Linked DNA regions of Neodiprion lecontei. The protein of the gene in region 1 purifies or fractionates together with the protein of each later gene. This does not show direct contact. Links are inferred from orthologs where the notes say so. Each region holds a gene or a part of one and is shown in the gene's direction. Other genes may lie near its edges.

What was found. Proteins that work in one complex are often made in the same cells at the same time.
Region 2: the proteins of NCK-interacting protein with SH3 domain (region 1) and gem-associated protein 2 purify together in Homo sapiens (co-immunoprecipitation; 3 studies listed by BioGRID and IntAct, counting the BioPlex papers as one, with this or other methods). This does not show direct contact. The link is inferred for Neodiprion lecontei from reciprocal best matches to the Homo sapiens genes NCKIPSD and GEMIN2.

What each region holds. Positions count from the first base shown.
Region 1 is NC_060261.1:38,347,194-38,355,443, reverse strand, and holds NCK-interacting protein with SH3 domain, read left to right. Parts: upstream 1-2,327; 5' UTR 2,328-2,599; coding exon 2,600-2,627; exon of another isoform or gene 2,628-2,728; intron 2,729-2,846; coding exon 2,847-3,031; intron 3,032-3,122; coding exon 3,123-3,980; intron 3,981-4,373; coding exon 4,374-4,576; intron 4,577-4,836; coding exon 4,837-4,940; intron 4,941-5,018; coding exon 5,019-5,237; intron 5,238-5,360; coding exon 5,361-5,533; intron 5,534-5,572; coding exon of another isoform or gene 5,573-5,580; exon of another isoform or gene 5,581-5,640; coding exon 5,641-5,741; intron 5,742-5,907; coding exon 5,908-5,998; 3' UTR 5,999-7,565; downstream 7,566-8,250. Other genes in the region: U3 small nucleolar RNA-associated protein 18 homolog, read right to left, coding at 1-288, 371-539, 614-805, 913-1,098, 1,214-1,391, 1,475-1,771, 1,861-2,054; glutamyl-tRNA(Gln) amidotransferase subunit A, mitochondrial, read left to right, coding at 8,021-8,250. UniProt on the Homo sapiens protein: Has an important role in stress fiber formation induced by active diaphanous protein homolog 1 (DRF1). Induces microspike formation, in vivo. In vitro, stimulates N-WASP-induced ARP2/3 complex activation in the absence of CDC42.
Region 2 is NC_060263.1:39,236,093-39,240,488, reverse strand, and holds gem-associated protein 2, read left to right. Parts: upstream 1-2,227; 5' UTR 2,228-2,375; coding exon 2,376-2,482; intron 2,483-2,559; coding exon 2,560-2,644; intron 2,645-2,723; coding exon 2,724-2,882; intron 2,883-2,944; coding exon 2,945-3,211; intron 3,212-3,292; coding exon 3,293-3,385; 3' UTR 3,386-3,477; downstream 3,478-4,396. Other genes in the region: probable cyclin-dependent serine/threonine-protein kinase DDB_G0292550, read left to right, coding at 1-1,000, 1,094-1,397; ubiquitin-like protein 4A, read right to left, coding at 3,971-4,260, 4,394-4,396. UniProt on the Homo sapiens protein: The SMN complex catalyzes the assembly of small nuclear ribonucleoproteins (snRNPs), the building blocks of the spliceosome, and thereby plays an important role in the splicing of cellular pre-mRNAs.

The sequences.
Region 1 (8,250 bases):
CATTTTCCGTCTCATCTGACGCCATTGAAAGAATCTCTGACGCAGAATTAAATTTCAAACTTGTTATAGAAGTAACAAGGTTCAGGACTATTTTCAATGGGGAGGGATTAGTGCTGTCTAAGACTGTGCTAGTGTCGTAGACGTTCACTACTCCCTGTTTACTTCCAGTGGCTAAATATTGCCCACTAGGTGAAACCGCAATTCTTGACCCCGACAAGCAACCGTCATCTATAGCTCGGTGCATACATGTACGCTCGTTCATGTCCCATACGTAAATTTCGCCTCCCTCTAAATATATGAGAAGAATATTTCTTTGATTACCTCCGAACAAATTATAAATTGATTACAACTTCAGAAATATTCAACTTACCACCATGTGTGAAAAGTTTCCTACTGTCAGGAGAGAATGCTAAAGTATTACACTGGTCATTCATCTTCAAAGTGCTCACAAGTTCTTTGGTTTTGGTAGTCAGGATGTATATATTACCCATTCTTCCACATACGGCGATGAATTTCTCATCGGGAGATACTTCGAAGTTCTGTAATCAACGTTACCAGGATAGCATTAGATGTCGCCGTAGACCTAGCAAACTTGCAATTGTCTTCTGCGTACCTTCATATTAGTCATGCCATGTGGTAGTGGTACTCTGTACGTTTTTCCAGCCAATAAATCATAGGTGTGACAATGAGCATGGCGTTGTGAGCCTACCACTATTTCTGATCCCTCTTTTGCGAACCTGGCCGTATTTATTGGAAATCTTCGGTACTGCATACTATGCAGTTTTGTATTCTGTTTACCATCAATCTGACGAAATAGAAGATGAAATTATTGCGAGTTTTTCATTATTACTCTGGTTGCAAATATTGAGATTCCCTGTAATTTTTTTAAAAAGTGGATCACTCTTGACTCACTTGAAATATCGACAATATCCCAGATAATCCAGCGACTAATGCCACTGTAGAGGTTGGATGGAATTGAAGACTTGTTATTACAGGCCCCTCGGATCGAGTTTCTTGGTTTATATTTTTTAGAGCTTTCAACTCGATTGTTCCTTGTGCTAAATTCTTAGGTTTTGGTGTTATCAAATGACTGCTGTGCTGTAGAGATAATAGCAGGGAAACATCAATACTAAAACTAATTGAAAAACTAAATATTTCATAATTTAATTAATCATCGATGGTTATAATATGATTGATGAGATTTAAATAGTACCCGCAATATTTCGTCGTCTGAATCCTCTTCGGAGCCAGTTTCCTTTTTTGCACTAATTTCAGCCCACTTAGGAGTGCCAACAAGTTGTTGGTACTTGTTTCGTAGCAGTTCTTTGTAGTGTTTTTCAGGCCGCTGCACAGCCAGTCTTCGCCCTTGCAGACGCAAGGTTTCTTCAACGCTGTTGAGTAAATGAATCAACATATATTCAACACAAATTTTATTCTGTTTTCAACACTAGATGTATTATCGTCTGTTGCTTACGAAAGGTTTTCTTCTTCGTCATCATCTACCCATGCCGCTTGTTTTTCAGTCTTCAATTCTTCATCTTCGACTCCCGAATCAGCATCTGTATCTTGCTCTGTATCTTCTGAACCCGATCTATCTAAATCAGAGTCATCGGTTTTTTCATCATTGTCTTCATTGTCATCAGAATCGTCCACCTCATCATTAGGGGTCGAAACCTTGGACAAAGGTGTCTGTGATTTAGAATCATTGTGCTCATCTTGTAGAAGGTTGCTAATGACGTCGATATGGTCACCGAATACGAGCCTTTCGAGTCTGGAAATTATTGAGATGTGATTGAATTTGAAATACAAGGGATGAAGAATTGTTTCGTAGGTGAAAGATCATGGTTCAAGTTCATTTACCTGGCTTCTTCTACCGGGTCGTAATGATTTCTGCGTTTCTTTCTCAGAGGAGTGGTAAACTTCTTGTTGTATTTAACCTCTCCAAGTTCAGGTTCTGACGTTTTTCTTTTTCTCAGTGTTTCCTCTAATTCTTCTGCTTCTATCTCATCCTCAGATGGTTCGAGGCTTGACACACGGTCTACCGTTGCAGCCATTACTCCAAAATTCTGTATAGATTATTACTTTTCTGTATAATATGTATGCACGTAAGCTCAACAGCTCTTACATGTTATTGGATACCGCGTGGCGCGTATTTGGAGTCCATTGACTAATTCGTTGACTGAAGAAACGCTATTCGCTTCGTTTCGCACCGTAGGGTTTCACTTCATGCGTCGATTCAACATGGCATATCACGTTGTAGTTCATTGCACAGTATTGAGGCAGAGTTTCATTTCTTTCCATCGACTTTTTCCGTGGTAAGGTACATAAATCAGTGCAACTGTGCAAGTTCGTTGTTACCGCTGCGAGTTTGTCGGTGGGCGCCTGAGTGGGTTGTGTTTCGTAAACAAACAGGTTATGTGTTTCTTGTTGAAAAAAAGAATGATAACTGGAGCAGAGTAAACGAAAGTGAAAAGCAATCACCATCTGTTCTCACATTTTCGTCGACCAGTCTGTATTTTATACCTGCATCTATTTTTTTCTATTGCTTAAGGAATTCAACCGAATTCGTTTTAATTCGTGATTTATATTTTGTGTTTAAATGATGGGTGACAACTACATCAGGTTAGGTAAGATCGCATCCCTTAACTAGCCAGTCCTTCAACCAAACAACGAGACGTACACGAATCTGTTTACATATCTATCTGAAATTATCACGCTCGATTACGCGGTTGGTTTTCACGTTTTTGCTAGTTAGTCAATGGCAAATGCTCTACTAGTTGAAACTTATGATTCCAAATATTCAAGACTGTGGCTTGTACTAATAACCTTCTTTCTTTTGTACACAGAAAACTATGAGATGCTAAAAGCACTGTACGAATTCAAGGCAACCTTTGCTAAAACTCTAAGCTTTCGAGAAAACGAACATTTTATACTGTATCAAACAAATACAAAACAGAGAAATTGGTGGCAGGTTGTGAACAGCTTGGGGCAGCTTGGCTATATACCATCTAACTATGTTACTACGGTCAAGGTATTTCCTTTTCTGATACTGGAAGTCTTCTGAATATTCATACATTTCTCTATTTTGTTTTACAGTCATTAATACTCGATTCTCTCTGCAGGTCGAGCCTCAATTTTTGATTGATTACCTGAGGAAATGCATAGAGAAATTGCAAACCGAAATTCAACAGCAAGGCAGCTCCGTTCAAGCTGATAAGCAGGATCTTCTAATGAGGCTTGTGGAAAAGGAGAGACAAGCAGAGCTTGGCAGAAAAGTAAAAAAGCAAGCACCTATGCCTCCAGTTTTTTCGACTTCCACCTTAGGAAGAGATACAACTAATCAAACAGTCTATACTAATCCGGATGGCGATGCTCGATCTGCTCCTAGCAATACGTCCTATGCCACTGCTCAATCTACACTTCATTACGATGCCGATCCTGCAGACGCCCAACTAATTGCACAATGCAGGCGGACGACTGTAAACGATCAGCGCAGACAGCTACCTAGACAATCTATATCTGATACAATTCACACTAGCCAATCTGAACCAATTCAAATGAAAAGAAGTCCTTCTCAAAGTGCATTGAACACTGTAGGAAATTCCTCACCAATAAAAAGCAGCTCCTCAACTTCATGTGAGATTAATTCAAAAGCTGCTTATCAGCTACTCGATCAAGTGAGACGAAATACACAACTTAGTCACGAAATGTCGAAAGTTGCAGTTGCTGTGGTTGTTTCTGGTCTGCAGGAACTTTTACCAGCTAGTATAAGTCATTATTTTGCTGCAGTGTTGAACCAGCTTCAAGTGCCATTGATTGCTTCAAAAATGAGTATTGAAGAAACACACGATGCCAATAGGCTCAAAGTTATTTTTACAGAGCTTACTTCTTGCAAGGAGGATTCTCAGCAGAGAAGTTGGATGTTGTATGAAGATGAACCTATTATTGTCGAATACATCAAAGAGCTCACATCCATTCTGGTAAATTTAATTATCTTGTTACATCTTTGTTCAATATTGATAGTAAACAACATACCTTAAAAATATCTACAAATGTTCATTAAGAGAACAGAGAAAGATTACAGGGAGCATAGTTCTCTCAGTATTTTTGAAGAACCTTTCAACCAACCAATGAAGGTCACAAAAGTTTGAAAAATTTTCAAATCATCCAATCACCAGACATCATAATTAGAGTAATATTTCTGATTTGACCCACTTCTCTTCCTTAATACCTGAAATATACTTATAACTAGAGTAATGGCATAAAAATGTGTTGTGATACACGTCAGAATATCGGAATTTATGTTTATAAATCGTTCTTACTATACATCCTCGTTGTTAGCCACGTAAATCATATCATTGAACACTGTTTAGACAAATGCAGATGCAAATGTTTCACGACATGCATTAAGATCGGACCAATATAATGGCGTAACGACATTAATACAATACTACCAAATGGAACCCAGATGGACTATTAGGCAACTGCTTCTGCAATCATTTGGTGTTATGTGCAGTTTGGATGCAGTAGTTCTCACCATCATGTTGAACAGTGTTCTGCCAATGGAATTAGCAAGGTATGACAAGAAAAATTGTCCTCCTACTGTAATGCAGTATTAAAGTTGAAATTTTGCTGAACTCCATTCTATTTAACAATGTATTCATGCAGTCTAATGCCGAAATGTGATATTAACGATTCCGTGTCAATCGTTTTTAAATTAGTATCAACCTGCTTTTGTCGATACACATTTTCATTTTATTGTGCTTTCCATTAAACACGTACTTGCTAACAGGCATAATAGAATCACCCGATTTATATAGTGTATTTTTCAAACAGTGACATGAGAACGTACCCAAGGAATGTGCCAAGGCTGAATTATTCTTCGCTGTTGCTTACTATGATCTTCTCAATGGGTGAACCAATGCCCGTCACTCATTTGGGTAAGAATACTCCACGTTGTGTGTTCATTTCCACTGAGTTTCAGTATCTGCGATGTCTTTATAATTGTCTGATTACAGAGCAGCTGGGAACAGATTTTATATCATTCCTTTTAGAATTGATAGAAAATCCTCCTGATACCGATATGGATGATCAAATACCGGATTTATTTTTGAATTTGGTTCTGTCCTATAATTTGCAATTCACCACTTCGGAAAACATGGTATTAAATGCATTAAAACTGCGAACTGTGGCAAAAACATTCACAGAAAAAATTCTACTGCTTCTTAATAGAGAAGGTGAGATTTTGATGCTTCACACCAAATTGAACCTACTGTAGCAACCGTATTTTATCCATTGTTTGTTCTTCTTTGGAGAAGAAAAACTTCCGTCTTATCTTCTTGCATTCACCATTATTCTAGAGGATCCGGTACGAATATTTGATCATCAACCTGCTCCTCCACATTCTGTACTCAAATTATTTGTTGATCTCTTCAGTAATGATGTTACTGCAAACTTATTTTACACCAACGATATTAAAGTCTTGATTGACATTATTGTACGGCAGTTGTTTGATATCTCACCAGGAGTGAAGGTAATTTAAATACATATAAATATTATGAAACAATTCCAGGTGTATGAAAAAATAAAAAATTATGTAGTAGTATATTGTAACCTGATGTGGAACATGTCGTTGCACAGAAACGCAGACAGTATTTGGAGCTGTGTCGGAGAGTGTTGAGAACTGAAAGCTACAATGAACATCGTCACAGGTGTGAAGACGTGTTGAAATGTTTCACAAGGTTTGTATTGAACTACAGTTCGTTCCGTACTTTAAATTAGGCTCGTTTCGCTATGATTTCTTTCGTATTATGCTTGGAAAATGTTGATCAGGGGTAGTAGGCAAATTTTTTTACGAAGTACCAACAATGTTCCAAAAACAAATGCATTTATTATTCAATCTTACAGGATATTTTGCGAAGAATTGCCTGAGAGTAAATCTGATCAAAAATTGGTGCGTGAAATCAGTAACGAATTTCCACATCTATTCAAGATGTGACATATGTTGCCACCCTCTGCTACTTCTGACGAAGATGAAGAGGATCTACACACATTAGTTTAGAGGAATATGTTTTATCGATGAAGAGGAATCTTCCAAGCCACAAACATTTACTACCAGATATGTTGAGCGATAAAACGTATCACGGAAAACCGTAACAGTGGCAAGTATCATGAGATATCGATCTCAATTTCATGTAATATAGTTTTGGCTGGTAGTCTGACGTCTTTAGTCATATCCGTGAAGATATGGCGAAAATTATGATATCCTGCAATTTTATGTGAGAAAGTTGAAAGAGAAAATTGAGCTAAAACTTGAATAGTGCATATCTGATGTTTGCAGGTGAAAATATCGTGATTTACTTGTATGTTAAAGATCGAAATCGTGTTAAATGTGAAAAAAATAGCAAAGGTTTAAAATTAAACCATTTAGATGGACCGCTTCTGTTCATTTGAGGTATGTCGGAAGGCGTAGGAAACGGATGACAGCTGGGGTTCAATATGACAACTTCTTATTTGAATAATCATTCAAACAAATTACTATTGCTAGTATGAATATTGGAGGGATTATTGATTCATACATATATAACAACCGAATTTATCTAGGGTTAGTATTTTTCGAATACAGCTTGAAATGATCATCAAGATATAATACTGAGTTTTAAGTCAGCTTTACATTATTGAGCACAAAATATGTATATTGTCCGCTAAACTTAACATTGGCACAGTTACCGTTGATCTGCGCGAATTATATTTTATGAGATTATTTTATGAACACGGGAGATAGTCAAGCTCGTTGAACTATAACCGACTGTAGAAAACAATGATGCGTTTATTTAGAGGAGATATTGTGGCGATTCTTTTATGACTTTCAGTCTAGTCTTTTACATTGTGTACACTATTGAATAATACGTTCTAAGTCGTAAAATAGTAGCAGTTTTCCGAACTTCATGTTATAACGAATGTCATATAGCTAGTAATGTGAAAGCAATTCGTAAATTGACTAGTACATGGATGAATTAAATCTATCTTAGGAAAAATTTACATTTCAAGATAGATTCGCGATATAGTAATAGCAGCTCGGTTCGTGATTTCGTATCGGAATATCCATGGTAGTAACATAAAAAGTCGAGAACTGAGGAACGCGAACACTTTAGGTTTGATTTAACGTATAGGAGTAATTTTTGAATTTGACATATGCGAGTGATAACATTTTCCGTATGTTCAAGGAATACTTTTTCTAATCTAGAACTCTTCAAGCAGCTGATGAATTTAACGTAAAACCGGCGCAATATCTGCGTTCACTTTCGATGGGTATGTTTTCGATAATACTATAAATGTATAAGCATATTGAAGAAAAATTCCGTGCCCTTAGAAATTTGTTTCATATTGTTCGAGGAAGAGATTCGTGTATATTATTGTATAGAAAGTTCGTATTAGACATAGATTTAGATATGTATTCTGAAATATCGCAAGGCAATCGCGCAAAAGCGCCGGTCGCTTCAAACGGTAACAGCTTTGCATGTAATACATGTATGAATTAAAGTTTATCTATTGTTACATCTAAAGTATCACCGTCAAATTCTCGTATAGACTCATTGTCAGTAGACCGGAACCAAATACTTTATTGTTTACGCTGAAATTCTTTTCCATGACATGTGAGCTAGTGTTCGATATAGTCGAGATTGGTCTATTTGTCGAAAATATTCACGCTTTCCATGACTAAAGGTAGACAAATAAATAAATCGAATTCTAATTCTACATTCAACGTTCTTCGTTTTCCTACTACACATCATTGATCCAACGTAGTTTTCTCACTTTGAATTTCGCGCGTGTAACGCGTGCCTCGTACGCCTAATTTTAGATTACCCGTGTAGCAATCATACGCGTGATTTAAAAAATTCATGAATCGAATATCGAATTGTTGAAAGCGTGGTTAATCACGAGATGCCGGGGTTGTTTAAAAGTTGAGGTTATGTAATACACAATCTTAATCCTGACAAGTAACAAACAAACTGAGACAATGAATAAGATACTGTCACGACCGATAAAACAAGTGAGTAACAAACTGAATGCCGGCGAATTGAAGCCATCCGAGATTTGCAGAGCCGCGGTGAAGCTGGCAAATGCGTCAAAGCCGCTAAACGCGTATATTTGTGTGACCGGAGGATCGGCAGAGTTGCAGGCACAGGAATCAGATGCTAGATACGCCGAAAGTCAGCCTCTAGGAACCCTCGATGGAATTCCAATAGC
Region 2 (4,396 bases), on another chromosome or scaffold:
CGACGACCAACGCGTTCCAAGGCAGCAATTACAACCACAACAACAACAACAACAACAACAACAACAACAACAACAACAACAACAACAACCAGCAAACTGCGGGGGGCTTCGGTAACTTCGACAGCTCGAAATTCGGAGCGACCAATCAACAGACCACGAACTACGGAAGCACAGTCTTCGACCGAACTCCTGCGGTCACGACGACTGTGAGGTCGACGGACTTCACGGCGAACGTTGCCACCAAGATTAAGAAGCCCACCGACCAGAGCAGCCCGACTTTTACCAATCAGTTCAACCAATTCTCAACACAACCGACGACCCTAAGACCCAGCACGAGCTTCCAGACGACCGACTACACCGGTTACTATCAGAAAAACTACAACACCATTCAGAGAACAGCGAACACCGGCGGTACCACGTTCCAGACTTCGACTTTCGCGTCAACCTCCTACGACGACTACTCGGTCACCCCGAGAACCAGCGAGCCCCAGATTGCGAACAAAGTTCAGACCACCAGACAGCAAGATTTTACTCAAACCACTCAGAGATTCGCAAACAGCTTTGCGGGTAGCAGCTACATCCCGACGACCTACAGTCCGGTTACCAAGAAACAAGCGACCATCGGTAATGGCAACACCCAAAGCCAGGTGATCAATCGAGGGAACGATCAGTACACCGGGCAGTACGAGAGCGCCAGAACAACGAACAGCGGCCAGTACCGCGAAAGGAACACTCAGCAGACCGAGCAGACCTACGACACCTCGAGGTCCAACGATAACAGCGGACAGTACAATCGCGAGGTGGCTACGAAAGCCCCGAAGAAGGTTGCTACGCAGTACAACAACTATGAATCTAAGACGAATTTCGACGGAAGCACCAAGAGCTTCGACAACTTCGACCAGGGCGGAAGAACGGCTTCCGTCAACGGATTCAGTCCCGCTAGTGTCAACAAGCTCGCAGAGAGTCCCGTCACCGTGAGAGCGACGACTCCCGTTCCGAGGTAGGTGATTTTTCTCATTGAAAGTGCTTGGATTGAAGGAATAGGTGTTTATATGTTTATCACTAATGTCTAACTTGTGATGATCTGTTATAGAAGGACTGTCTACAATAACCCAACAACTCAGAGGCCGTCGTCGGCTGCAGCGACCAATTACGCGTCGCAAACGACGCCGAATTCAAGAACTGGAAATTTCGTCAGTGCGACACCAAGGCCGTTCACATCCACGACAAGGACTGTCGATCGGCGTCAAGAATCTACCACGGTAAAATCGAAGTCGGAAAAGAAGAACGACTACGATTACGCTTACTACGACAATGCTGGAGCTTTGGAATACGACGGTATTGATCTGGAACAAGTTGGCGGCTCAAGAGACACCGCGAAAGTAACAAGAAATTGAAATTCATTATACGGGTTATATTATACTTGCGGGAAAAAATAGTTAGACGCAGATTTTTCAATCCATGATATACAGTCTTATTCGATCTATTCGTACGTATGGAGATTCATACGTATGTATTTGAGATTGCCAATTGCCAAACTGAGCGATTTTTATGATAAATATTTTTTGTCCAGATATCATATCTGTCGATTAATACAATACAATACGCAATCAATGATCTGCTGTACTTACAATTAAGATATTTTTGTTATGTATGTACGTCTAGTACGCTACGTACGATAAATATGTTATATGTATTATGTCGATCCACCTAAAATTAATTTGAATTTCAAGAATATTATTAAATATGGTTTTTTTATCAGTATTTTTAGCTTAGTATACGCCTGCGCCGATCGAACTGTGTCCCGACAAACATACAATAACAAATTTTTCACACACATTCTTTTGTAAATAGGTCGCTACTACGGCTACCGAGTGTACATATTTTATGTATTTTAATAAAAAAGAAAAACAAAAAAAAAAAATAACAGTAGGTATAGAGATCCATATGCTCACCAAAAGTTGTAAGGTTCAGATCACCCGGTGATGTCTACATTCGTAGAGTAATGAATAAATCGTGACGATAAGAAGAATCATTCATCGTGGTGGAAAGAATGTATCATGATCATTTACGACTAATAAACTTTGATTACCGTTTTATATAGGTAGACAGTTTTAAATTTCCCGGGGTTTCCGTCACGCGTTTGTCCAATTTTGCCGCCACTACGATTGTACCCGTTGCCATGGCAACAAGAGCTTGCAAAATGATATCGAGTTTCTGGTCTTCCTGCATGTGACCACCGATAATACGTCGAAGGATGACGGAATTCACGTTATTCAAACGTAATTTAACCTAGGAAAAACATGTCAACAATGCGAAATTCTTAGCACGCGTTGCGACGAAATTTTTTTTAACCATATACCTCGCCTCGAAAGATGGGGGATATTTTGAGAGAGCCTGCTTTATTTGTGGGCGAAATTGACGCGGAATTCGACCTTATGCTACCTCCATCCTCAGGAGAGGAATACATCAAGCGTGTGGTGTCGGTATTCCTGTCCCATCTTTCAATACGCTAATTTTCCCTCTAAACAATTCACTGCAATTGCAAAATATTTCTAGAATTGAGGCGCAGCAGTGCGACGACGTGGTTGTGGCAGAGAATATAAAAGCTCGTATTAGGACTCCCATGGTGGCGGTAAAGCCTGTAAGTCAATGAAACAAAACAAGCAGGCAAAAGCAATCATTTGTACGATGTGTGAAATGAGTAATAAACAATTGCTCAGCTAGCAGGATGTGTCGAGGCTCCAGCTTCGATGGTTCCGACTCTGGACTGGCAGCAGTGTCAACTAGCAGACTTTTCTTCTGTGAGACTAGAGATCGACCGGATTAAACACAATTTACAAAATGCTGAGGGTCGCCGCAGGCTTCGACAAACTGTTCTGGTAAGATTTAATTTCTGATCACATCTGATTTCAGAATACACTTATCCTTGTGCAAATTACAGCCTGACGCAGATGATCAGGTTGGCTGGCTGGAGTACATCTGCAACATGAGACCGTTGCTTGGACTAGTATTAAACATGAACCAGCCGCTGATCGAACAAGTCTTGGAACATCTCGTCGAAGCAGTAGAAGAAAAGGGCCTGATCTCGCAACCATACGGAGGCTGGATTTATGCCCTACTAGCTACCCTCGAGTTACCTTTAAATCCAGACACGTGTTCCTGCTTACGCTCGCTTGCTAGAACATGTTCGATAATCAGAGCTAGCATGGTAAAATACATTTTGAAAACAGAGTGGCAAATGTTTCGAGAGGTAAATTTTTTATGGATAATATTTGTAATTTATTTTTAGACAGAGGAGAACGCTAAAGATGTCACAGCTTTGAATTTATTTATCTGCCTGGTCGCCAGATATTTCAGACAAATGGATTTGGTGGACTTGTAATTTGTGATTAAAGAACGACATAATTGTGAAATTGGGGATCAATGAAATTTGTAACTACTGATTGAAATAAATATAGATTAATTTTAACGTAACAAGTTTTGTTTTATTATTATCATTATCTTGCACTTAGTTAACAGCTAAACATGATGGATGAATGTCAATTCAAGCGAGCGATCATTGAAGAGGCTACATTACATCTCTTGAATATTAGAAATTACATATGCTTAAAATATTCCTTAGGTCAACTCAATGAATTATTCACGAATGGAATTTCGTTGAACATTGCTGTTAAATATTGTGCAAATCAATCGTCTCAGCCACTTGTGGGTTTGCCATTTTGTGAAATGAGAGGGAAATTAATGCGTAAAACGGACGAATGTATAGAAAATTTGTTGTAAATAATTAATTAAAAAAGAGTGCAAAGAATTAATTTGTAAAAGTGAGCAGTACAAGAAAACATCATTCACTTTTCAAAAAGCACGGAAAACCTTACAATTAAAAATTTTCTAGATGCAGAGTTTTATTAAAAATTAACAAACGAATGATTGAAGGTATTCTGCAGAAAAAAATCCAAGGAAAATTTCTTCAAGTGGTACTTTCTTGATCCTGAAGCAGAGCCGTTGCTAATCTTTCCAAGTCGTCATAGCTCAAGCCGTCTACTTTCTTTTTTAAGTCTTTCATAAACTCATTAATTATCGACTGTGTTTCAGATTCTGTATAATAATGCCTCAAGACTCTTGACATCTCGCTTCTGAATAATTGGATGCCAGTATCACCTTGAGCACTCTTACCCTCACTTTGAATTTGCTTCTTTACAAATAAATTTAACTTGCAACCGTCTTTTATCGTTGGATAAAAACTCAGAAGCTGGTCGTCTGAAACGACGAAATTTTTTAGGATCAACTTTAAAGATATTTTGAACCAAATTTGAAGCAATTTCTCGTTTATTACTAGAAACCATTTAAATTTAATGATTTTTGAGCAATGATAATTGCAGATTATTCGTACCTG